4 linked regions of the Drosophila melanogaster genome follow. The protein of the gene in region 3 purifies or fractionates together with the protein of the main gene of each other region. This does not show direct contact. Each region holds a gene or a part of one and is shown on either strand. Other genes may lie near its edges. The genes, in order: Mp20, Yp2, Gapdh2 and CG16826.

Evidence for each region.
Region 1: the proteins of Gapdh2 (region 3) and Mp20 purify together in Drosophila melanogaster (affinity purification with mass spectrometry, with the first as the bait; one large-scale study listed by BioGRID). This does not show direct contact.
Region 2: the proteins of Gapdh2 (region 3) and Yp2 purify together in Drosophila melanogaster (affinity purification with mass spectrometry, with the first as the bait; one large-scale study listed by BioGRID). This does not show direct contact.
Region 4: the proteins of Gapdh2 (region 3) and CG16826 purify together in Drosophila melanogaster (affinity purification with mass spectrometry, with the first as the bait; one large-scale study listed by BioGRID). This does not show direct contact.

The regions. Positions count from the first base shown.
Region 1 is NT_033778.4:13,243,546-13,250,252, forward strand, and holds Mp20 (muscle protein 20), read left to right. Parts: upstream 1-3,124; 5' UTR 3,125-3,197; coding exon 3,198-3,227; intron 3,228-3,371; coding exon 3,372-3,704; intron 3,705-3,771; coding exon 3,772-3,959; coding exon of another isoform or gene 3,960-3,963; exon of another isoform or gene 3,964-4,214; intron 4,215-5,266; coding exon 5,267-5,285; 3' UTR 5,286-5,335; downstream 5,336-6,707. Other genes in the region: CG4712 (uncharacterized protein), read right to left, coding at 5,398-5,786, 5,856-5,952, 6,464-6,707.
Region 2 is NC_004354.4:10,048,961-10,055,377, forward strand, and holds Yp2 (yolk protein 2), read right to left. Parts: upstream 3,675-6,417; 5' UTR 3,624-3,674; coding exon 3,389-3,623; intron 3,321-3,388; coding exon 2,227-3,320; 3' UTR 1,991-2,226; downstream 1-1,990. Other genes in the region: Cht6 (chitinase 6), read left to right, coding at 554-871, 932-1,455; Yp1 (yolk protein 1), read left to right, coding at 4,957-5,176, 5,254-6,353. UniProt on the Drosophila melanogaster protein: Vitellogenin is the major yolk protein of eggs where it is used as a food source during embryogenesis. Vitellogenins and their receptor yl/yolkless are required for maintenance of microtubule plus-end orientation towards the posterior pole of oocytes.
Region 3 is NC_004354.4:15,865,534-15,871,463, forward strand, and holds Gapdh2 (glyceraldehyde 3 phosphate dehydrogenase 2), read left to right. Parts: upstream 1-2,611; 5' UTR 2,612-2,710; intron 2,711-2,784; 5' UTR 2,785-2,802; coding exon 2,803-3,801; 3' UTR 3,802-4,128; downstream 4,129-5,930.
Region 4 is NT_033779.5:13,344,958-13,350,568, forward strand, and holds CG16826 (uncharacterized protein), read left to right. Parts: upstream 1-2,815; 5' UTR 2,816-2,839; coding exon 2,840-3,865; 3' UTR 3,866-4,063; downstream 4,064-5,611.

The sequences.
Region 1 (6,707 bases), on a different chromosome or scaffold from region 3:
AAGACCTTTTTGTTGTGGTTAAGTGCTAGGCATCTTGGTTGCGGTCCGGCTGAATTTCTAATTAACCTTTTTTCGGGCTTTTCGGGTGGTGTAGGCGGCGCCACCCGGGGGGGCTTACGTCTCAGGATTTTACGTTTGGGTAAATAATATTGGGCGTAAGCCAAACAGAATAGAAACAGCTAATAAATAAAAAGTTCAAAAGATTCCGCATCGCAATCATTGCTGAATCAAGTTTGGAACAAAAGTATAAACAAAATTCAAATGAATTGTAAAATAGTCTAGAGACTGCACACCTTTTTTTAAGGTATACAATTTAAGCGCTAGGACTTTTTTGATTTTTTGATAAAATCCTTTTTCTATACTATTTTTAATAAGAACTTATATTTTTATTAGCAACAAAGTAATGTGTGTGGAGTCAATAAATAAATTTGTGAAAAGGTGTCAGTTATTGTTTGGCTTATATTATAAGATTTAGATTTAGAGAAGCCGATAATTGGCAAAAGGGGAAAAATTTTAAATACAAAACAAATAATTCCTCCAACATTGTGCTACGAATGTTCTTTGAGCGACAAAGTGAAAATGTTGAGATTTATTTAATTGCTTTTGTCGCAAGGAGCCGAAAAATGTCTACAGAAATTATGAGAAACTTATAAATAACTAGTGGATGCCATGACCGCGGCGAATCGAGTGTTTATTTTCGTTAACAAAATGACGACATTGGGCATGATTTTCCAATTAAATGCTGAGCTTAAATAAATAATGCGTCTATTTATAGACGGCCAACTCACTGGCAATGGGGCACGAGTTGCCAGTATCTGTATTCGAATCAATGTTCTTCGTTTTGTGTTTGTTTATAAATGAAATTGCAGTCTGCAAACTGAAACGCTTGACTCAATTTCCGTTTCCGCCCAGCTTCACTGTAAGCCAGCGGAAGCGGCACAAATGCCAGCAAGTGGTTGCTGGATGGCCCAAGGGCTAGCCGGATCCTTTGGAGCCATTGGATCCATTGGATCCCTTTGGTGCCTTTACTCCCCAACGACCTAATTTTCGCTTGACTTCATTTCGGATATGCGTTGCCATTTTGTGACCATTGTGTGCTGGCCATTTTGCGGAGCATAGGCCGTCGGCCTGGTTGTGGATTTTTTTATGCTGATTTATGGGAAAATAATCCCGGCTAACTTAGCGCCTGCAAAATGGTTCTCCTCCGCCAGGATGTTTGCACACTCGAATCTAATTTTCCTGGCCAAACACATACACAATGCTCTGCTCTGTGCAATTTTGGCACAAACGTTGATGAGGATGTCGTCTGATGAGGATGCATGAGGGACCCCCAGGGTTCGGATAATCATTTAATCAGCCATTTGTTTGAATTGCAATCCAAGGGAGACGATAGTAATAGTACTTTCCAAAACCATCGGGTGTGTGCCATCGCGTAATTGAATTTGATTCTTTCACTTGACGAGCCACACCCCTCAGCAAATGCAATTACAATAATTTAATTGCCGTGAAAAATGGCCGCCCGGCTGCGGGGCATTAATTAAATTTTTGCGAAGACAATAGTCAAAACCCAGCCTGCGGCGCATTTAATTCACTTAAATGGCAACCAATGCGGTTTACTTCAATTCGCCGCGTATTTGTTAATTAAAATAAAAATGTAAGAAAGAAAACGCTCCGTCGAAGTGCCGCGGGCCAAGGAGGCGGTAAAAATAAACGAACACGCCATCTGTTTTTCTCCGCCGTGGGAAAAACAAGAAAAGCCTGGAAAATCTCAACTATTTCGGCTCGGCTCCACCTGTTCGGCGTCGAGAATTTAGAAATAGTCGCGCTACCCATAGCACAAATTCGTCGCGCCTTTTACGTGTATCTCGTAGATTTTCCGACTGTTATCGAAATTGTATCTGCTCTAGCAAAAGATTTTCCCCCATCCCGAAATAGATGTCGCTGTGCGATTTGTTTGTTTGGCTTTCCCCCCCGAAATACTCTAATAAAATATTAATTTTTGTGGGGGGGCACGAACTTTGACAGTTCCCAGTCGCCTTGACTGGTCGCCTCTTCACTTTATTGCCCTCTCGTTAATTTTGAAGGCATGTTTTGCTGATGGCTGTCCTCGAACAAAGTGCTTTTCAATAACACAAGGCACATAATTCAAGTTAATTTCCCGCTCATAAAGTAATCGCTGTCCTTTTTACTTTTTAAAGCTTGCAAATTGCTCCGTCTTTTCCTGGAGACATTATTTATATCCATTATCAGATTATAAATACATTGTATGAATATTTCAATAATATTTATAAAAATTTAAAACATTAGTATGATAGTAGTATGATGAAATTATTTCGAATATTCTCTTAATAAACTAATTGGCATGTTCTAAATTGTGAATATTGCAAAGGATGCTCCTCACATTTTGTAAATCTCTGTAAATTCTGAAGGACGTGTCTTTGGAAGATTTGATTATCAAATATATTTGAAATACCAATTAAATCCAATTTGAAAAACATTTTCAGTAAAAATTAATAAGTACATGTCATTTTTGTAAACTTTTTATGCAGAAAGTCCTTTTAACAAGAAATTGCCATGTCGCTGATCTGATCTGATAACTGTGAATAATTGTGAGGATGTCCATGTCATCATAAATTTCGCTGTAAATTCTGGAGGATGTGTCGCTCGATGGGAACCAATTTGCTGCCATTTTTAATTATGACCCAATGCATGCCGATGGAAATTACGGGCAACGAATGCACGCGCCCGAAATGAGTTCAAAATGACAGCAGGACAGCAAGTCCGAAAAAATGCGGCTAACATGCAAATGAGCAGTACTTTGAAGAGCACAATCTACACACACTCGCACACACACACACACACACATACCATCGATTGGAAATGTGTGAAAATAATGAAGCATTTGGATTTTTCCTTTTTCTCAACCGATGATGATCTAAAATTATAACGCACGATTCATACGCGGGAGACGGGCAAAGTCGGCGTTTCGAATATATAGAACGCCCACGCTGCAAAATTTTCACACACTCGACTCCGAATTCGGATATATTTTTGGAAAATTCTTGAACGAATTCGTCGGAGAACGCTCTCTCGCGCTTTAAAAGCCGCATACGCCCCGTTGGCTGGCATCAGTGTTAGCTTGTCAGAGCTTTAGTGAAGATCCCGCAGGACCCGAAACCAAAAACCAAGAATCAAACATGTCTCTTGAGCGTGCCGTTCGTGCCAAGGTGAATACTCAATCAGTGAAGAAAAAAGATCCTTAAGAAAACATAGATATAAAGGAAAATAGATGAAAGAAATGTGAAATTACCAAACAGTTTTGTGAAATATTGTGCCTAAAATATGAATTTTTTCTTATCCGATCCACCTAGATTGCCAGCAAGCGCAATCCCGAGATGGACAAGGAGGCCCAGGAGTGGATCGAGGCCATCATTGCCGAGAAGTTCCCCGCCGGCCAGTCCTACGAGGATGTGCTCAAGGACGGTCAGGTGCTGTGCAAACTGATCAACGTGCTGTCGCCCAATGCCGTGCCCAAGGTCAACTCCTCGGGCGGCCAGTTCAAGTTCATGGAGAACATCAACAACTTCCAGAAGGCCCTGAAGGAGTACGGTGTGCCCGACATCGATGTCTTCCAGACCGTCGATCTGTACGAGAAGAAGGATATTGCCAACGTTACCAACACCATCTTCGCTTTGGGCCGTGCCGTAAGTTTCAAATCGCCTTCTATCCCATTGTCAGCCAGGCTAATCCTTGAATTGCGGCTCATTGCAGACCTACAAGCATGCCGACTTCAAGGGTCCCTTCCTGGGCCCCAAGCCCGCCGATGAGTGCAAGCGCGATTTCACCGAAGAGCAGCTGAAGGCTGGCCAGACCATTGTGGGTCTGCAGGCCGGTTCCAACAAGGGAGCCACCCAGGCTGGCCAGAACCTCGGCGCTGGCCGCAAGATCCTGCTCGGCAAGTAAGCGCCAAAGGATGGCCAGGATGTCCACACCCTTTTCTACACTTATGCTAAGTGAACACACCCATATATATTTTGTATGATGAAAAACATGAAGAACACAATGATATTCCTCACCAAAGCAAAACTCAACACCAATGAACACACACTCACACAAAACAACACATAAAAGCAACGCAAAGGCTTGTCGCCTTATATTAAGTATACGCCTAAGTTAATCTATTTATGAGTACAATAAAGTAATTCAAAGAACCCAGTTTTCCACTTTCCGATCACCTCTATAACCTTGAGCTCTCTACGTTCTTGCTGCTGTTGTTTGTGTGGGTGTACAGACTTTATTTATCTGCCTATGGTGCGTTCTAAAAATGAATTTCATACCTATAGCCATATAGCTGAATATATATATATACTATATATGCATCATCGTATCAACGTTATAAAGCAAACATAAACACACTCTGTTGAGTGTGTGCGATGTGTGAAACATTCCATCGAAGCGTGTCGAGGTCAGAACATCAGCGTTGGGCAGAGTTATTATCAAGATGGGCATCTCGACACTGACTTTTACATATATTTTATATGTAGCGAAAGGAATTTCCCCCAAACTCACCTGTCCGAGGCGTGAAATTGTTCCCACGAAAGAACACACACAACATTATGTATTGCAGGTGCAACTATGCTGGTGCCAAAAATGAAAAAAACCAGACATCTCTCGCGAATATTTCACGCCTTCAGCTGGCACTTTTCTAATTTCTCGATTTATTATAGTTTGTCAGTGGGTGGAATTGATCTCTGTTGGCTTATTATGCTGAAAGCAAAGAGCAGGAATGGAAGAATCTGGAAATATTTTGTATTAATTGTATGTTAGATCTATTGAAAAAATATGTCTTAGAACGCAGAATATATTCAGCATGGATTTGTTATTAGTTTTAAATGACGCAGTCTGCAAATGAAATATTTTCCTCATTCGTTTTGGCTAATTGAAGTGTACTCAGGTCGTGTGTACAATATTTTAGACTCAAATAGTGCTCAGAAAGGATGATTAAGAATAAAGCGTGCCAATTTCCGAATCGGTATATTTAGAATTTTGAAAATTTCCAACAATTGGTTGCTAGAAATATTAATGAGAACAACCAAACGGTATTTCCCCTTGGTTTTGTTGTTTTCTTCAACATATATATATGGATGGAATAAATAAAAGCAGGCAAATAAATAACAAACTTGACACTGAAAATGTGGGGGATATATATATATATATACATATATATTAATAATGGTTCATTAAGAGATTTTCTCTACCGTTTCAGGGTTATTATTGATGCATAAGCTTACGACTAGGAAGTCTTGAATTTTCCATTGTTTATAGCATTAATAAACGACAAATATTATATTATTTTTGTGGAAAAATGTATTTGGTTGAAAAGTGGTAATAGCCCTATTAAATAATCGAGCTCTTTTTTCGAGGTGACATCAAACTTTGCAGCTGATTGGTAAGTGATTTTAGGGTTTCCCGGAGACTCGAGACCATTTTCTCCTTTTCACGAACATAGGCGACAGTTCGATCGTAGTCATACATCAATGCGGGCATAGCCAGGATACCACCCTGGCATGTCAAATCTCTCATCCGGCGCCTAATAGCCTTGTGCTCCAGTTTTCGGCGACACAGCTCGGATTTTAGTTTATTTTTCAACTTGTGCTTTTCCAGCAGGTTATCTTTAAGAACGTGAATTTTGTTCTTAAGCTCGTGGGACTTCTCTCGATTGTGCTTAGTCATATGCAGTTCGGTGTGGTAGAGCCTGCGCTGTCTTTTTAATTCAATATTTCGCTCTGATGGAGATGATTATTATGCATATAATAATGAACAAATTTTAAGCAGAGATGTTCATAGGACTATACCTTCAATCTTCTTTTCTAGGCCGATCGTTTTGTTTTGCACGGAAATAAAGTCATTCAAGCTCACACCGTCGCAAACCGTTTCTACATCTCTTATTTTCTAAATGGAGATGTTTCAGAAAAGTATGTTGATACAAGTAAAACAATCAAATTAGAAAACATATGAAAAATTGGAAAACAATATTGGTGATAGTAAATATAATGAAAAACTACATGGCTGGATAGTGGGAAGCAATGTGTTGTAAAATATTGTGAATAACTTAATAGCATTATGTGACAATTTGAATGAGCATAACCGGCGGATAACATGGTTGCTAACATAGCATATAACATGTCGGATAACATAGCATGTAACATGAGTTGGCAGACAACACGGCGATTAACATATAATGTAATATGACGGATAACATGGCGAATAACATGAAGGACAACACGGCTGATAAAATGGCGGACAACATGGCGGATAATATAGCATGTAACATAGCATATAAAATGGCGAATGACATTACAAAAAATACGGAGGATAACATGGCGGACAACATGGCGGAAAATCTCTCAACAACGCGTTCAACATCGTGGACAACTTTTTGGACAACATCCTGGATACCTACTTCTAAGATGCGGGCCAAGGTGTGTTTCTGCGACATGAGCAACAGCCGGGCATCGCTAATTTGATTCCGATGGTCGGCCATAAGTCGGAGTTCGCGGGCAACCAGGCGCTTGAGGAAATCGGTCTCGGCGTCCGGACGAACCAGGATGCGTTTTAACGTCTGCTCGAGATGATGCTCCGTGCTGAGAACGATGTTCATGGCGTTGGCGAGGTCCAAAAACGCAGTGGTCATTAGAATGCCATAT
Region 2 (6,417 bases), 5.8 Mb from region 3:
TTATATGACCATTTTTAGCCAAGTTATGACGAAAATTCCAATTGTAAATATCAAGATTTTGGCTAAATCCGTTTTTCCGAAATTCGGCCATCAAATAATCCGTTTTTTTTTGGCATAACTTTAAAAATAATTGCCTGAATATAGAATGTCATACCTCGTTGAGCTCGTAATAAAATTCCCAATCGAACTGTATTCACAAATGGAAATTCTATTTTTTGGTAATTTTTTGCAAATTTTGATGATGTTACCCCTTACAAAAAAGGCGAAAAATGACCCAAAAATTAAAATTCCTAATTTCTTCAAAAAGTGACAGGTACTACTAGTTAGTACTAGTAATTAGCTGCTCAAAAATGTTATTCTTACATCTTTACGATAATTTTAGGCCAAGTTATGATGAAAATAAGTTGTCATAAACATCTCAATTTTACCAACAATCCTGTTATTGCTTTTTCGCCTAATGAAATTATTTTGTTATCAAAATATTAAGCCATGAATTTTCTTAATTTTTTTTTTAAATTTCATATTTCATATTCTTATTATGTTTTCCCTTTAGCCACCGAGGTGCCCAGAACTCAGAACCCACTGTTCAAGCGCCGCCTCACCCTTATATCCACCACTCCGCCGTCCGCCCGCACCACCAACCCACCAGTTTCGGGCCTGGAAACCACCACCACTCTGTATTTGAACGACGACGACGAGGATCAGGTGGCCAAGTCGAGCATTCACACGAGCCGCTTCAACCAGATACCAGAGCAGGTGCGTCCACGAGAGGAATATGACTTGGCATTGCCAGCGCAGCCACTGAAGAGCACCAGCACCACAGTTAGCACCACTGCCAATGCACCACTACCAGTTATTGGCCAGGGAATCCGTAAGTGTATAACCATTGCATTGTTGTTTGTATTTGACTGGTTTTAACTTGTTACTGCAGGCCGTCAATTGATCCCACGTCCTCGTCGGCCGCAATCGACCACATCAACGCCCCCCACTACAACCACATCCGGTTCAACTTTGAGATCGACCACGTCGGCTGGACACTCGGCTCCTCCTCTCTCCCGTCGCCAGCAGAGTCGTCGTCGTCCGCACAAATACATCGAGGTCTACAGTCGTCCGCCGGCCAAGACTGCCGTAATCTCAGCCACGTCAAGTAGTCAATTTCTGGACGAGGGATTCCCGGTGGTTCACAGTCAGGTCGCCCAACGGCGTCGCAGTGGCAGTATTCTTCCGACCAAAAACGATCCCAAGGTGATCGTTCATGGTCATGGCATCATTGAGTGCCGGGCACAGGGAAATTTTCCGCATCCCCTCAACTGCAGGAAGTTTATATCCTGCGCCCGATTCGAGGAGACCGGTGGAATCGTTGGATGGGAGTACACCTGTCCCAAGGGACTAACCTACGACGGCGTCGGCGGCATGTGCACCTGGTCGCCCTCGGATCAGCCCTGCCGCGATTAGACTGATAGACAAACAAATCAAAAAAAAAAAACAAAAACAAAAACACAGCTCTAAATAAGCCTCTAAATCCATTAACCCATCTCATCTGGAGACCCATTCGCATCGATAAAAAGACCATCCATTCCCATTGCACCCCGTGTTGTATATGATTTTTCCAATTTGTGATTAGTTCTGATGAGGTTGTTGAAATCGAGACGATGAATATGAGTGAAGCAAGTTGAAATTCTACGTTAATTATTCTTATTTAAGCTTAGTGATATCTCAACCCAATTTTTTTGCGCCTGCCAATACAGTAGTAAGCAAGAAATATTGTCCGTAGTTCATCGTCCCATATATATAGCGCCATATCTATATATGTGGTTGTGCGTGTGTGTACGCTATATATCATAATGGATAATATGCTTTCTTTATCAAATAAACATATCATGTAATCCAAATGTTTGTTGTGTGCTTCTTTTATGACCTCAGTGGCATTGCATAATTTGGTTTTGGATATTTTTATATAATGAGCATTTAGAACTCTCAAATATTTCGACATAAGCAATTGTTTTTATTGTAAATTGAACTGGGGTTTTTTTCTGATATTGAACTGAACTCTTTAGAATGTTTAAAAATGCAAACGTTTTTTATTGTGAGTTAAAAAAACAAAGCTAACTAATCGTAGTGGATGCAACTGGCAGAGGGTTCTGCTGGATGAGGATGGGCTGGAGTGGTTCGCTCGCATGAGGGGTGTGCGATCTGGTTGTCATCGATGGATCACTGTGCGATGATCTACTGACGGCGGGAACCCTGGTTGGAGGAGGACTGGCGCCAGGGCTGGTGGACCTGGTGGTAGCCGGTCTGTTTCTGGGCGGGAGTGCTCCTGCCGAAGGGGCTCTTCGAGTTCACCTGCAGAATGTAATCGCCCTGCAGATCGAAATCGGTAGCGATGCCCATGTAGCCGCGCTTGCCATAGCCCTTGTTCTGCTTGTACTCCTGGTACGAGCTGGCGGCCACGGAGGGGAAGTTCCTCTCGTTTCCAGGACGCACGGACTCGGCGAAGTAGCGGGTGGCACGCATGGTGGCCTCAACGACATTATCGGCTCCGGGCACTCCGGTCGAGGGTCCGTTGGGGAAGAAGTCCACGTTGGCCAATCGCTGGCTGGTACCCATGCCGTAGGCGGAGGTGTGGATGGCATCAACGAAGTCAGCATCACCACGGGCCAGTCCGGTCAGCCTCTCCTCGGGCTTGCCGTAGATCTTAGTGGGGTCCAGGGCGGTGATGCGGCGCAACTTGTGTCCGGTCTGACGGGTGAACTGGCGTCCAGCCACTCCGGCAACGTGGGCAGCGGGTCCAGAGCCAATCAGATGGATAATCTCTTGGGGCACGTTCACGGTGTTGGTCAGCTCAACCAGACGGTTGCCAATGATCTCGCCCAGACGCTCAATGTTCAGGGTGGCGTACTGCTCAAAGTCCTCGATGGCATTGCCCAGCTGAATCACAATCAGGTCTCCGGTCTTGGTATCATCCTGTTCACCGTTCTGCTTCCTGCGCTGCGTTTGCTGCTCCTCGCTGGAACTCCTCTGGCTCTGCTCCTCGTTGGAGTAGTCGGTGGTCTCATAGGGCTGGAGGTTGTAACGCTGCTGGTAGGCCTGCACCAGCTTCCTGGTAGCCTTCTGCACTTGGGTGTTGGTCTCGGGCAGGCCCTGGATGAAGATGGTGACCTCATCGTCGCCGAACTTCTGCTGGCGCTTAACCTTCTCCACCAAAGTGTTCAGGTTGAACTCGATCTTCTGGCCGCGCTCGCCGACAATGTAGCCCCTGATCTGGCTGGGTTCCGGGGTGTAATCGGGCTTGAAGACATGGTTGAACTGGGACAGATGGTCTGCGGGATAGGATAGTGCGTGTAAATATAACATGATTGGTAGAACTTTTAGAGATCCTTGAACTTACAGAGCTTGTCCAACAGCGTAGCGCCCTCCTCCAGGCTCATCTCCTGCAGCTTCTTAAGGGTAACCTCCTTCAGGTTGGGCAGCTCCTCGACTTCACGTGGATTGACCCAGTTGCTGGGCTGCTCCACATTGTCCAGGGAGTTGGATCGGCGACCGGAACGGTTACCAGATTGGGGATTACCCATGGCGACCGCCAGAAGGCAGGCCATAACGCAAAGGGTGCGCAGAGGATTCATTGTGGCTTCCAAGTTCGACTTTTTCAGACACCGTACCAAATTGTACTGCATACCCACTGCTGCGACTCAATGCATTTTATACCCCTTGGAATCGGTAGTCTATACACACTATAATGCACGCGCCGGAAGCAATTGATTTCAGCAACCGATTTCTGGATCAGCACAAATGCATTGATTCGCAGCGTCAGTGATTTTGCAACACTTCTGATGAGCTCTAAAATTTCGTTCCCCTTTTTTTTTTTTTTTTTTGGTTATTAAGTATCCATCGGGTAACAGGTAATGGGAAACTTCTTTAACCAGCACTTTCATAACATAAACAAAAGGTGGTCTGGCCATTAAGGGGCTTGACAGTGGGGGCACGACTTGAACTCATGCACAGGTCAAGATAAAGCTTTTGTTTGAAAAAAATATTTGGCAATTTTGTGAAATTTATGCAACTATTTAAGTGTTTGCCAAAAGAATTGTCTAAATTGTTCTATAAGCAGATAGCACTTTCAGGGAAATGCAAAATAAATATATTATAAATTATAATATTATAAATATAAATATTTACATCTATCGAAATATACATATATTTTTAATAAGTAGAATGAGTTACATGAAATAGCATCGATAAGATCATATATTATAAAACGAATCCCGGATATTAAAATAGAATCTCCTTGAAAAACGTTCCCCTGAATCAATTCATTTCTAAAGTCCAAAAACAAATATAATCTTACTATCTTGCCTTGGAAACTACAAACATTCCATACTTTTCGTATCAATGGCAAACATCTAGGAATCAATGAACTGTATCGGCCTTGAATTGAAAATGCAAAATTATGGACTTTTAATTAAGCAGAAGAAAAGTGCCAAATATAAATCTACTTATAAACAAAAAAAATCAATAAAATGTTGTATATAATAACCAACTAATGCCCATGTTAGATCTATATTTTATGCATTTATTTGATCAAATCCGGTGCACAACTACAATGTTGCAATCAGCGGAGCCTACAAAGTGATTACAAATTAAAATAATCAGGCGGCAGCAGGTGCTGCTAAGTCATCAGTGGGGTCAGCTATAGGTAGGCCCCGTGTCTATTTTGTATGTATACAATTTATTCCGCTATCGATAGCATATACACTCATCCGATTCCCAGGCACCCGAAAACCCTTACTCAGCACAAGTGACCGATTAAGGCCTGAGCCAGCGAAAAGCGAGTCAGAAAATGGGAAATCGCTCAGCGCAAATTGTGGTATATAAACCACCATCGTTGGATTTGGAAGGCCAGTTCAACTCACTCAGTGTTGAAGTCGCATCCGCAGGACCAAATCCCAAATCCGAACCATGAACCCCATGAGAGTGCTGAGCCTTCTGGCTTGCTTGGCGGTCGCCGCCTTGGCCAAGCCCAATGGCCGTATGGACAACTCCGTCAACCAGGCATTGAAGCCGTCGCAGTGGCTCTCCGGATCCCAGCTGGAGGCCATTCCCGCCCTCGACGATTTCACCATTGAGCGTCTGGAGAACATGAACCTGGAGCGTGGCGCCGAGCTGCTGCAGCAAGTCTGTGAGTAATCCTAGATGCAGATAAAAAAAAAAAAAAAAAACATCGAATATTCTATGGAATATATATATCCTTTGTAGACCACCTGTCGCAGATCCACCACAACGTTGAGCCCAACTATGTGCCCAGCGGCATCCAGGTCTATGTGCCCAAGCCCAATGGTGACAAGACCGTTGCTCCCCTGAACGAGATGATCCAGCGCCTGAAGCAGAAGCAGAACTTTGGTGAGGATGAGGTGACCATCATTGTGACCGGACTGCCCCAGACCAGCGAGACCGTGAAGAAGGCGACCAGGAAGCTGGTTCAGGCTTACATGCAGCGCTACAATCTGCAGCAGCAGCGCCAGCACGGCAAGAACGGCAACCAGGACTACCAGGATCAGAGCAACGAACAGAGGAAGAACCAGAGGACCAGCAGCGAGGAGGACTACAGCGAGGAGGTTAAGAACGCCAAGACCCAAAGCGGCGACATCATTGTGATCGATTTGGGCTCCAAGCTGAACACCTATGAGCGTTATGCCATGCTCGACATTGAGAAGACCGGCGCCAAGATCGGCAAGTGGATCGTCCAGATGGTCAACGAGTTGGACATGCCCTTCGATACCATTCACCTGATTGGCCAGAATGTGGGTGCCCATGTTGCCGGTGCCGCTGCCCAGGAATTCACCCGTCTCACCGGACACAAGCTGCGCCGTGTCACCGGTCTGGATCCCTCCAAGATCGTGGCCAAGAGCAAGAACACCCTGACCGGTCTGGCTCGCGGTGATGCTGAATTCGTTGACGCCATCCACACCTCGGTCTACGGCATGGGCACCCCCATCCGCTCCGGTGATGTTGACTTCTATCCCAATGGACCTGCCGCCGGTGTTCCCGGAGCCAGCAACGTGGTGGAGGCCGCCATGCGTGCCACCCGCTACTTCGCCGAGTCCGTGCGTCCCGGAAACGAGAGGAGCTTCCCCGCCGTGCCAGCCAACTCCCTGCAGCAGTACAAGCAGAACGATGGATTCGGCAAGCGTGCCTACATGGGCATCGATACCGCTCACGATCTCGAGGGTGACTACATTCTGCAGGTGAACCCCAAGTCTCCTTTCGGCCGCAACGCACCCGCCCAGAAGCAGAGCAGCTACCACGGTGTCCACCAGGCGTGGAACACCAACCAGGACAGCAAGGACTACCAGTAAGGATGAGTCTGCTTACTCTGGACACCTGGAATGGCAACTACCAAACAACAAACAACCACCCAAC
Region 3 (5,930 bases):
TTAATATCAGAACCCTTCTCTATGTATGTGTGTTTCCGTGCAAATTTAATTACGTATACGTTATGTTTATATATATGTATGTATATGCCACGCGATCATATATATGCGCACATATATGCGCGTAATTTGATTTGTAATTTAATTACTGTTTTATTTGCCGACGACAAATCGGCAAATTCGATGAAATTATTTATTTGTAATTAGTTATTAACAATAATTGAGAAGAAAACAAAAAATGGAAACAGAAAATGCTGTCAAGAAAAAGAAATTGAAAATTTAAATAAAATAAAACATGGTCATGTAATAAACATACATACAAACATACATATTTAAATGAAAAAACTGAAGATTACTAACATTAATTTATAATTTGTGTCATAGCCGTCAACTCAGCGTTATATCTAGAATAAATAATAAAGAAAATTGTGTTAAGCAAATGCTACATACATATATCATTTAATGTACGTGTGCACATATGTACATGCCGAAAACATTAATTAAGAGTTTGGTCTGTCAGGATTAACGGGTTAATAAAACTGGCATGCTAATAGTCATACATTTATATGCAATCAAATTAAATTTTTTTTCAATCAAACCACCCGCTCATTTTCTATCAACTTTAGCCTGCCACATTGTAGTCGCAATTAGTTTGCAGTTCGGGGATTCATAACGAAACTATTGCCGAATGTGGTACTAATATGATATCTTTTATATAAAAGCTTGATATATTAAAATGAACTTGATATGCAAACAATCGGTATTAATTGTAGTTAATTTCCAACAGTCATAATTGTGATATCTTTGACCAGATCCAGAGATATATCTTCTGATATAGTACGCATAGAAAGGCGAACTATCCTTCTTTATATAGAGAAATAAACATAGATAGCCTACTTCAGCTCGTGACGTCAAGAAGCTTCTATCTGTAATGGGGTTTCTAGGTTAGGAAGTCATCCTGGGATGTTAGCATAAAAGGCAATAACCCCACAAACTCGAAGGACAGTAAGACTTCCACAACATTGGCAGGTGTTTTATTCACTTTCAGGGATACTTTTCTAATCGGATCCTTTTTTTCGGTAATGTATAAATCTAGAAGTCATCTTTCAATGGATCTTAATGGTAAGATGTAAGCATTGTTTTTGACTTTGCTGCAATAATTTAGCACCAAGCTGAAATACATTTATCGTTTCAACAATATAAAGATGAGAGGTTAAAAAACAAGTGAAATGTTTGCTTATCAGTAAAACCGATGACTCACTGAAAAGGAACGAACTTTTTTGCCCAGCCCAAGTATTAATAAATAAACATGACGCACTAAAATATTTAATACTTATTCGAGAAATAATTTATAAAATGTAAAAGATAAGGCAACAGAAATGTTGAGTTCTTGTCAAATTGCATATTTCAACATTTTAATGTTGGCGCGCTTATTTGAATTTTCACTGCTATGTTCATAATTAAGGGTTGCACTGAAAACAAATCGATAAATATATAAAAAGAATGAAAAGAATAAAAAGAATGTTAAATGATTACAATATCGATTATTCAGTTTGGGGAAGGAGAAATGATTAATTTGCAGATACCTTTTTTTTTACTACAAATGATTGTATGAATAAAATACTCCCAAATTAATTGATTTTGATTATATATCGTTCGTATACATATGTTTTAATATTTATATAAACGGGATCTGCTGATTTTAAGAACATATGTATATACATGTTTATATATAATAAAAAAAGGTAAATGAATTCTGCGTGACTCAAAAGGTCACATTCACTTAGTTTTCATCATAAAGTTATACAATTTCGTTGTTATGGGTACATGGAATTTTGTGACTAACACTATTTATTACCATTAGCGTTTAAAATTCATGAAATTTGGATGCCTACTTGAGCTGTCAGGTGTTTTTCATTTTAACAATGGGATGACAACAGCACAATTGCTTAAATGAAATCATCAAAACGGATAATTTAATTACTTAGACAATTATTTCATCTAATATTGTAGTTATGCATAGAAGATATATACATATTTACATGTATATGTATCTTTGTACATATGTACATGTATTGTACAGATTAATGTCACGTACCGGCGAAACTTCAATTTGCTCAGAATATGACCTCTAAATTTTAATATTAATGAAATTGATGAATATGTATTTATGTGGGGATGTTAGGATTTTTCCATTTGCATTTACTTATGTACATATTTATGTACAATATAACCAATTGATGTTCATCAGACGTGCTCATATATGTGTATGTTTCGTGTGCCTATATATGCACGTATGTAATTGCCGGCAACTAAGCTCACAAGAAAGCTCAACTTCCGTCAACAAAATTGAGCAGGTGAAATGGCCATAAAAATATCCCAATAAACATTTGTCCGTATAAATTAAAAAATCCATATACTTTATAGGTCACTTTAACTGTCTAAGATCAGAAGTTTTTAAAGTTAAGCGTATCTTATGTACATATCTACTTATTATATTCATATAATGATGCTTGCAAAAAGTCTATTGGGTAGCATTGAGCTTTCACGTTACTGAGAGCAAAAGCTCTTTTTTATTGCGGTAGCCGCTCTCGAGCTTGACATGCACGTCCTTCATCTGACTTTGAACAATTTTTCGCCCGAGTTTTCGCCCATAGAAAGCGCTCAAAATTTCTCAGCCATCACAGTCGATTCCTTGCAAGCAAGCCGATAGGTAGTGTTTCCCTCAATTCCGCGGAAAACTTTCCAAGTACTAACTGCTTTACATATACATACATTACTTTCCAGATAAACAAAAAGTTAACCATGTCGAAGATTGGTATCAATGGATTTGGTCGCATCGGCCGCTTGGTTCTCCGCGCCGCCATTGATAAGGGCGCCAACGTTGTGGCCGTCAACGATCCCTTCATCGATGTGAACTACATGGTCTACCTGTTCAAGTTCGATTCGACCCACGGACGTTTTAAGGGCACCGTTGCCGCCGAGGGCGGTTTCCTGGTGGTCAACGGCCAGAAGATCACCGTCTTCAGCGAACGCGACCCGGCCAACATCAACTGGGCCAGCGCTGGTGCCGAATACATCGTGGAGTCCACTGGCGTGTTCACCACCATCGACAAGGCATCCACTCACTTGAAGGGCGGTGCCAAGAAGGTTATCATCTCGGCCCCATCCGCCGATGCTCCCATGTTCGTTTGCGGCGTCAACTTGGATGCCTACAAGCCCGACATGAAGGTGGTCTCCAACGCATCGTGCACCACCAACTGCTTGGCTCCTCTGGCCAAGGTGATCAACGACAACTTCGAGATCGTCGAGGGTCTGATGACCACCGTTCATGCCACCACCGCTACCCAGAAGACCGTCGATGGACCTTCCGGCAAGTTGTGGCGTGATGGACGTGGCGCTGCCCAGAACATCATTCCAGCTTCCACTGGAGCTGCCAAGGCCGTGGGCAAGGTTATCCCCGCCCTCAACGGTAAGCTCACCGGAATGGCATTCCGTGTGCCCACTCCCAACGTTTCCGTGGTCGATTTGACCGTGCGCTTGGGCAAGGGTGCGTCCTATGATGAAATTAAGGCCAAGGTTCAGGAGGCCGCCAACGGACCCCTGAAGGGTATCCTGGGATACACCGATGAGGAGGTCGTTTCTACCGATTTCCTCAGCGACACCCACTCGTCGGTGTTCGATGCCAAGGCTGGCATTTCGCTAAACGACAAGTTCGTGAAGCTGATCTCTTGGTACGACAACGAGTTTGGCTACTCCAACCGCGTCATCGACCTGATCAAGTACATGCAGAGCAAGGATTAAATGTGGAACACCAAGAACACTACCCACCCACACTCTACGTAAAAGTTAAAGATTAGGGCGCGGTAGAATGGGGTGAGACACTTCAGAAACGGCCTGAAAATGGCATCACATAACTTATATATATATTGCTCCCCGGTGGAGCATCACCTACATACATATGCGCTATGCTCTGAAATGCTACTGTTTTCGCTCTTCAATTACCAGCCACATTGGAAAATTATTAATATAATACATCCATTATACACATAAATATGTTTACTGTTGTTGAATAAAGTTTCACTCTGTGTGTAGTTTTAAAAATGCCGACTCATAAGCATTTAAATATTTATTTTTGCCTTTTTATTTGGTATAAACCGTTGAAATACCTAAAATAGTATGAGTATTACTTTAAATTGTTTTTTTCATTTGCTATATTTGGAAGTAATATATATATAACAGAAATGTGTCGATATTTTTTTTAAGTCGATTGGTTTTTGAATGATTACATAACTTGTTAAAGTTTTCAAATAATTTTAAATGAGCCTGATTCTATGGTATTGTTATCGGCAAAAATCGGGCTTTTACAGATTTCGATAAGAGCGACCTTAAACCCTTCAGTTGAAGCAATGTATAAACAGAAGTTATCGATATTTGGAGAGACTAACGGTGGCATATTGTCTGTGTAAGCCTGGCTTTTTGGATACATTTCTGAGAAAATAATGTTTCTCTGCCGATTTATATTTGCATAATTGGCAAATATAATCAAATATTTTGGTTGACTGCATCATTTCAACAGCACTTCACCATTATATCGTTATCGATATTTAATCGCTTGCTATACCGTCTTTTCGATTAATTTTCTCACACGGGCACACTAATTTTCAGAACATTTTAATACTGGCATGTAAATAAAATAATCAATTGATGAAACCTTAAAATAAAATGTGAATTATTCAACATGCAGTAGCAACAAACGGACACAAATCAGCATAAGAGTTCAAGACTTCTGGTTCTTGATGAATGTAAATGAAAGTTACCGAGTGAAAACGCCATAACTTGTGTAAAACTGACGGGGCGAACAAAGAGTATGTTTTCCGAGCGAATTTAACGATTGTGCAGTGTGTGTGTGGTACACATTTTCCCCAACGAAATATAATGAAACATAAGTGCATCGGGTAAAATCATCTCGAGTTCACATCTTACGTATGTGCGTAGTGAACATAAATCTGTATACATATTGGTATATACATATGTATGTATGTTGGAGATATACGTGCGGACGCTTTAATAATTAATATTTATAAACGGTGGCTAAACATTTCGAATATCTTTGTTAACATTATACCGTAACTTGTAATGTTTTTCAATGCAAATTGTACACATGTATAGAAATTTTAATAGATGTTCAGTTGCACATGTGCAACAGTGCGTTTCTCTATACATATGCTCATCTATTTTTGTGCATGTAATTTTAACATTTCAATGTTGTTCATGAATGAGTTTTGGAAAATATAGTCCAATTTAAATAGCGGTTAAAAATGCTGGAAAAAGTCTTGTAAGAATGTGTATTTGGCTGCAGATGTGAACTGTTTATACATACATATACATATGTACATATGGCACTGTCGTATTGGCAACTTCGTGTGTACATAAGAGTATATATGTGTGTATGTATTTTGTGGATTTAAGAGAAACGAAATATTAGAATGTAAAGTGCTTGCTTTTAATGGTTTCAAAAATGTAACAGTGGAAGTTTGTAAAAAGATTCATAATATTTCTACTTTTGCTTAACAAATTCCCTTCAAATGCAAAGCAAATGCTTGCTGTTACAGCTTTAAAATGTGATTTTCTTATTTTTCTAAGTGGGAATGTCCCATTTAGTTTCAAATATATACATACATATGTGGGTCAATGTAGCACCTACTCAAAAATCTATGTATGTACATAATATAATGGTCCCACTTTTCGTTGTTTATTTTGTCGATATGTTGCCATGTATGCGTGCATGTGTGTGCTAATTTATATCTTTTAAAACAATATCTTCCAGATAAACAACATTATTTAGGCTCGAAACAAATTTTTCAAGGCTAAACTTTCCTGCAAACATGAATAACTTTTGGGGGCTCTAGGATTTTAAGCTGGCCAATCGG
Region 4 (5,611 bases), on a different chromosome or scaffold from region 3:
GGGCAACCTTCTACGGCAGCTCCTATTCTCGCACTGCTTCTTTTGGTCGGGCCACGCTGCGTATGAGCAATGCTATGCGCGTTAAGTATATGTATTTGTTTGTCCTAAAGGATTTAGCCAAACGGCCCTCATCATGGTCGCCTGCATATGCAAAATAATGCGCTCGAAAATTTTCCACTCGTTGCACTCACTTAGAGCAATGGTATTTTAGGAAAATATGCAAGTGCACTCAGTGCTTTTATGTATTTCATTCTGATTTTCATGAAAAGTTATATTTATTGTGCTCTGTAAGTAAAGCAAGTGCACGGAATTGGGAAAATAATATATATTTCCGGACAGTCTGAAGAAAATATTGATATATTTAAACTATAAAAAATACCTGTGGGAAGATTGTTCGGATTATTTTAATCTCATATGTGCAAAAACGAATTAACGAACTTTTATCATCCACTTTTCGCTGAAACTGCAATACATTCTGCAGGCCCCTAAAGCTCGATGGCCATCATTAATGCAGCCATTATTTCCCATATTTTTTATTTTTTATTTATATTTCTCCTTATCGTAGGCAGGCCTGAAAGGGGGGCCAAGTTAATTTCAGAGCACACTTTACGTGCTGCAATTTGGAGCGTTTCAGTTGCATTCGGACCCGGGCCAGCAGCACATTTGGTAAGCAATAAATTGACCCGCCAGCCGACGCCATCATCTACTTTAAAAGCATTTGTTGCCACACCGCCACCACCCAGAACCTGTGGCCGCGCCCCCAATCAGCAGCACTTGGAGCCATCCGCCGCCCTGTGACCTCCTCCAATCCCCTCCAGCAGTTGCCAGAGCGCCGTACTCGAAGCGGCGACGACGCTAAAAAGATACCGGAAATGTTACAGGAAACAAAATGACTTAATGGCCGCGATTGCAACGGCATGGAATCGTTTCAGGCATCCTCCTGATCCTGGTCCTTTTCCATTTTCCTTCATGCTCCTTGGTCCATAGCCTGCTGGCATTCATGGAGGTTGCCGAGGTCAGCAGAAAAGCATAAAGGAAAGGTTATGGCACGGCCATGTGCTGAATGGATACCCTTCTTCAGATCGTCTTTGTTTACAAACATATTTTATATCAATAAGTCATAGTTATTATTTTTAAAAAATAATAAAAAGTTAAGCACTCTTTTAAGTGCTCAAAGAATAGCTATTAAAAAAGGTACTAAGTTTAATAAAATACTTATCACGTGTAAGACAAATATATTCTATTAAGGTCAAGTGATATTTGTGATGTAATCCCACTTACATAAACTTTTTTGAGCTAGCATTTAAGCTCATGCTTCTCGAATTCCCCACATGAATTGCTTTTCTTAAATGGACCAGACTCTCCCACTCCACACCTGATGTCCTCTAAATGGAGCCGATGATGAGCGTGATCCGCCAAAGGCAAGTTACTGCCCATACGACCCGACCCGACCTCTTTCTTTAAACAGGTAATTGCAATTGCGACATCATTATCATATGCTAAACGGAACTGATTGCTATTGAAACGGTTTTGAGGTTTGAATTTCTTTTGAGCTGAAACATATTTCTAATTAAATTAATTAAGCGAAGCGAGAATATGGCAAGTATGCAAGCCAATTAGTGGAAAACGCAAAATTAAATGTCTGTGCATTGAGGAGACTGCAGCGGTGTGGAGTGGATGGGTGTAAAAATAGCTGGGAAAAATGGCAACCAGAAGAGTGCGGGATCGCTCCGCCAACCCATTGTCCTTGTCCATGGAGCACTTTGTTGGCCACTCCGGCTATAATTGCGTTGAGACATGTAAGCTTTTGTTTTGCAGTTAGGCGTGTGGCTGTGCGACAAAGTTAATGACAGCATAATTAAACAAAACTAACAGCAGACTAATAAAATGTTCATAGTGCATGTCGCTCAAGGCCTCGGCACATCACCACGCCATCACAACCCCATCACCTCGCCACCCACAATGCCAGCTACTTTCCATATCTCCAAATGTATATACATTTATACAATACATATACCTGGCGAGCATTTCATGTCGTTGTGTGTCAACGTTTGTCAAGCGACAATTAAAGTCATAATAAAGGCATGCTAAAGACAATTATTATGTGCACGTCCTGCCACGCCCCCCAAAAAGAACCACCCAGTTCGTTCGGTTAGTTATGCATAAAGTTCGCCACAAAAGGGTTTAACCTGAGCGTAAACATGCGCTCCTTTGTCTCGCAGGCATATAAATTTCAAAATTAAAGCAGAGTTTAACCTTTGTCCTTGTGCAAATGGCAGGGTGGGTCTATAACCACCTGCCTGCGATTGTGTGAGACCCGCATAAAGAGCCTTCGGTTTTAATGCACGCGAAATTGACTTATTTGATTTATTTTCATAGTTTAAGCCAAGGGCTTTTATTATAAGCATGCTTTAAGTGAGTGGATTTGAGAGGGGATTTTAAGAAAATGCAAGGCAAAAGTTATATTTATATTCGCGTTGTTAATTATTTATTGAGTACTGTATTTTGCGGTGATTAAAAAAATAACGTTGTGTTTGAATAAAGAAAATCATTGTCCTCATAACACTGAGAATGCATAAAATAATTTTTTTTTTAATTGCCCCCAAGTACAGTAAAACAAATGTGCACAGAGCTTTCTTCGAAAAGTTATCCAACCAGCATGCATTCCACTATTCGCTCATTATGGAAAGCGGCTGATTAAATATTAACTAATTTAATAAAATGCCGGCCTGCTTCAATATTGAAATAGTCAGCGAATGTATTTGCCCAAGCGCACGTAGCCGAGATATATAAAAGGTGGTCCAGGGTGCAGAATGATTAGGCTATCCGTTGACCGACGATGCATTCGACCAAGTCAGCCGTTCTCCTGCTCGCCCTGGCCATCAGCGCCAGCTGCGTTGTTGCCACACCGCATCCGGAATTCTTGGATGAAATCTTCGGCTCCATAAACCAAACTGGCCAGCACATCATCAGTGGATTCGTGAATGCCACCAGGAATGGCACGGCCATTGCTGGTGAGTTCCTGGACAGCATAAGGAACTCCTCCGCCCAGTACACGCACGAAACCCTGGAGTTTGCCCAAAAAATCGCAGATGCAGTTCATAGAGCCGCCACTGAGTCAATCGTCGACTTTTCCGCGACTCTGAGGGCGCAGATCGACGCACTGCATCAGGGGATTGATCGGGTGAGAAACATCCTGCAGCGAGAGGCACTTAAGGATGCTCTCGCCAGACTGCAGACCGTCAATACCGTCGTAAATGATCTGGAAGTGGCCGTGAATAACCTCAATGATCGGATAGACGAGAAGAAACAAGAGTATTTCGCCATAATCCAGAAGAAGTGGTACCAATGGTCTGACGCCCAATTGGAACGAGTGGATAAGCTGACGAATGGAGTTGGCAACGAGGAAGCCGAGGAGATCATAAATGAGCTACTCTCCCGGTATTCCGGATATCTGCACAGCTGCCTGGAGGAGTTGCAAGCGCAGCAAGCCACGTTTGAGCAAAATGTCCAAGAGGCCATCGAAAAGTACCACAATGCCACCAACGAACTGACGGACCAAGTCGAGCTCTGCGTCCAGTTCAACCTCAGCTTCCTGTCCTGCCGCAATGGCATCAATGAGGCACTACGCGGACTCGACTCGGCTCCCGCGGAGCTGCTCACCCTGAAGCTTCAAGGCATCCGACTACTGGCCATCGGCCTGAATGCCAGCGGATGTGTGGGCCAGACCCTGGCCGAGCACGAGCTGGAGAAGCCCAGCGTGGAGCGCAAGCTGGATGAGATCATTGCGGAGTACCAGGAGCAGCAGACTTCCACCGATGACGACTCTAGCTCTAATAATGAAACGACCACCATAAGTTCGTAGGATTTCGGGGAGTCATCCAGTAATGAATATGACAACTCCAGCAATGACGACGAATCCTCATGGAAATATTTACAAGAACGTATAGTGTATTTTAGGTGTCGGGTAGAAGCAGCAAAATAAATTACTCTAATGCAACTAAATTAGAAATTGTTTTCCTTCATCGTTTATCAATGATGTTTCTTAATAAACTATGCCAAGCTTCTCAAAATATTTCTTAACTTTGAACAGTACTTTAAAAATTACTCTACCGCAAACGTATTACCCAGATACCGATTAACTTCATCAATGGTGCAGCACATTTTTTGCGGATGCTAAAGCAATTATTTTAAAATTGTCATATTCATTTATTTAGGTAAGGCACGAAAGTCGTGGCAATTTAAAGACACGAGGCTTTAGTAGATTAATTATTTAAATGCATTCGATTCTGCCTTTATATGTAAATTAAATAAGGGTGCTAAATAATATAGAAAAAGGGAAAAAGAAACTAACTTGCACTCTTAGCACCTCCCCTACTAACAAATGATGCAAATGAACTGAGTGAATTCCCCTTAAAGGACTTCCCCAGCTGCTATAAATATAAATAGTTGTATAACAACAGTAACGAAAGGTATAACACTGAATTAACAATCTCAACTGCTATAAAAATGAACTTTTGTGCTTTTGTATAACAGTCAATTGAAGAGGACACGAAGCGCGTAGTACAGCGTTTATAAAGTTTTATGCTGTTATATTTTTCAATGAAAATGTGTTATTTCATATCGAATATAACAGATTTGCTATAATATTCAAATTATGGCTCCGTTCAACTAGCATACATCTGATTCTCATTTATAGCTCATACGCCATGTATACATAACTAACGTACAGCTGGGTAAATTACATTTATAGCTCATACGCCCTGTATAACACGTGTACGATTTCCCCTTTATGACTTTGCGAGGGGGGCACTAAATGAACCACTCGAGAATAAATATTTGCTGAAATAAAACGCAGGCTTTCTATCTTAGTTTGCTTACTTGCAATTTTATTGACTTCATGTGTTTGAATAGATCTCTTTAGTATCTGAATTTGCCTCTTATTACCTAAAGACCACTAAATCTGTTTTTCTGATTTCTGTTTATTATTTACTTAATGATTATACTTTTTGTGCGCTAAGCCAAACAAAAAGTTTACAGATTTCGAAGCATTGGAAATTCGATTCAGTTTCGTGATAATACTAAACTTATCATTTTGCGTTTCTGCCTCATGCACAAGCCAAAAGACAAGGACCTGTAAATATGTCCCAAGCTTTTTCAGCCCACTAACTCATAGACTGAGCGCTTACCTCGGAGGAGTTTCGGCCTTACTAATTGATAATGTTGCACTAACAGTTCGCTGGCAAAATATCGATACATATTCATTGTTTTGCTGCATGCAACGCCTTACTTTCATTCTTGTATACCTTATTGCTTACTCTAAAACACGAAACAATGGCTTAGATTACATATGAATTTCGCATTAGGAATTTACTGAATTTTGTTTAGGAATAATTTTGCATTAGGACTACCAAAATCGGGAAAGCATATTTTCCAAATTAAAGAGAACAACCAAACAGTGATTAGTGATTATAATAATTTCGTAGTTGCTTCTATCTAGCATTGTTTAAGTATTTCTTAAGTCTCTCATCCCTTGTTTCATCGGAAAATATATCAATGAAATATTTGTTTCAAAATTTATATAACTGAAAATATTTCGTAGGACTCAAAC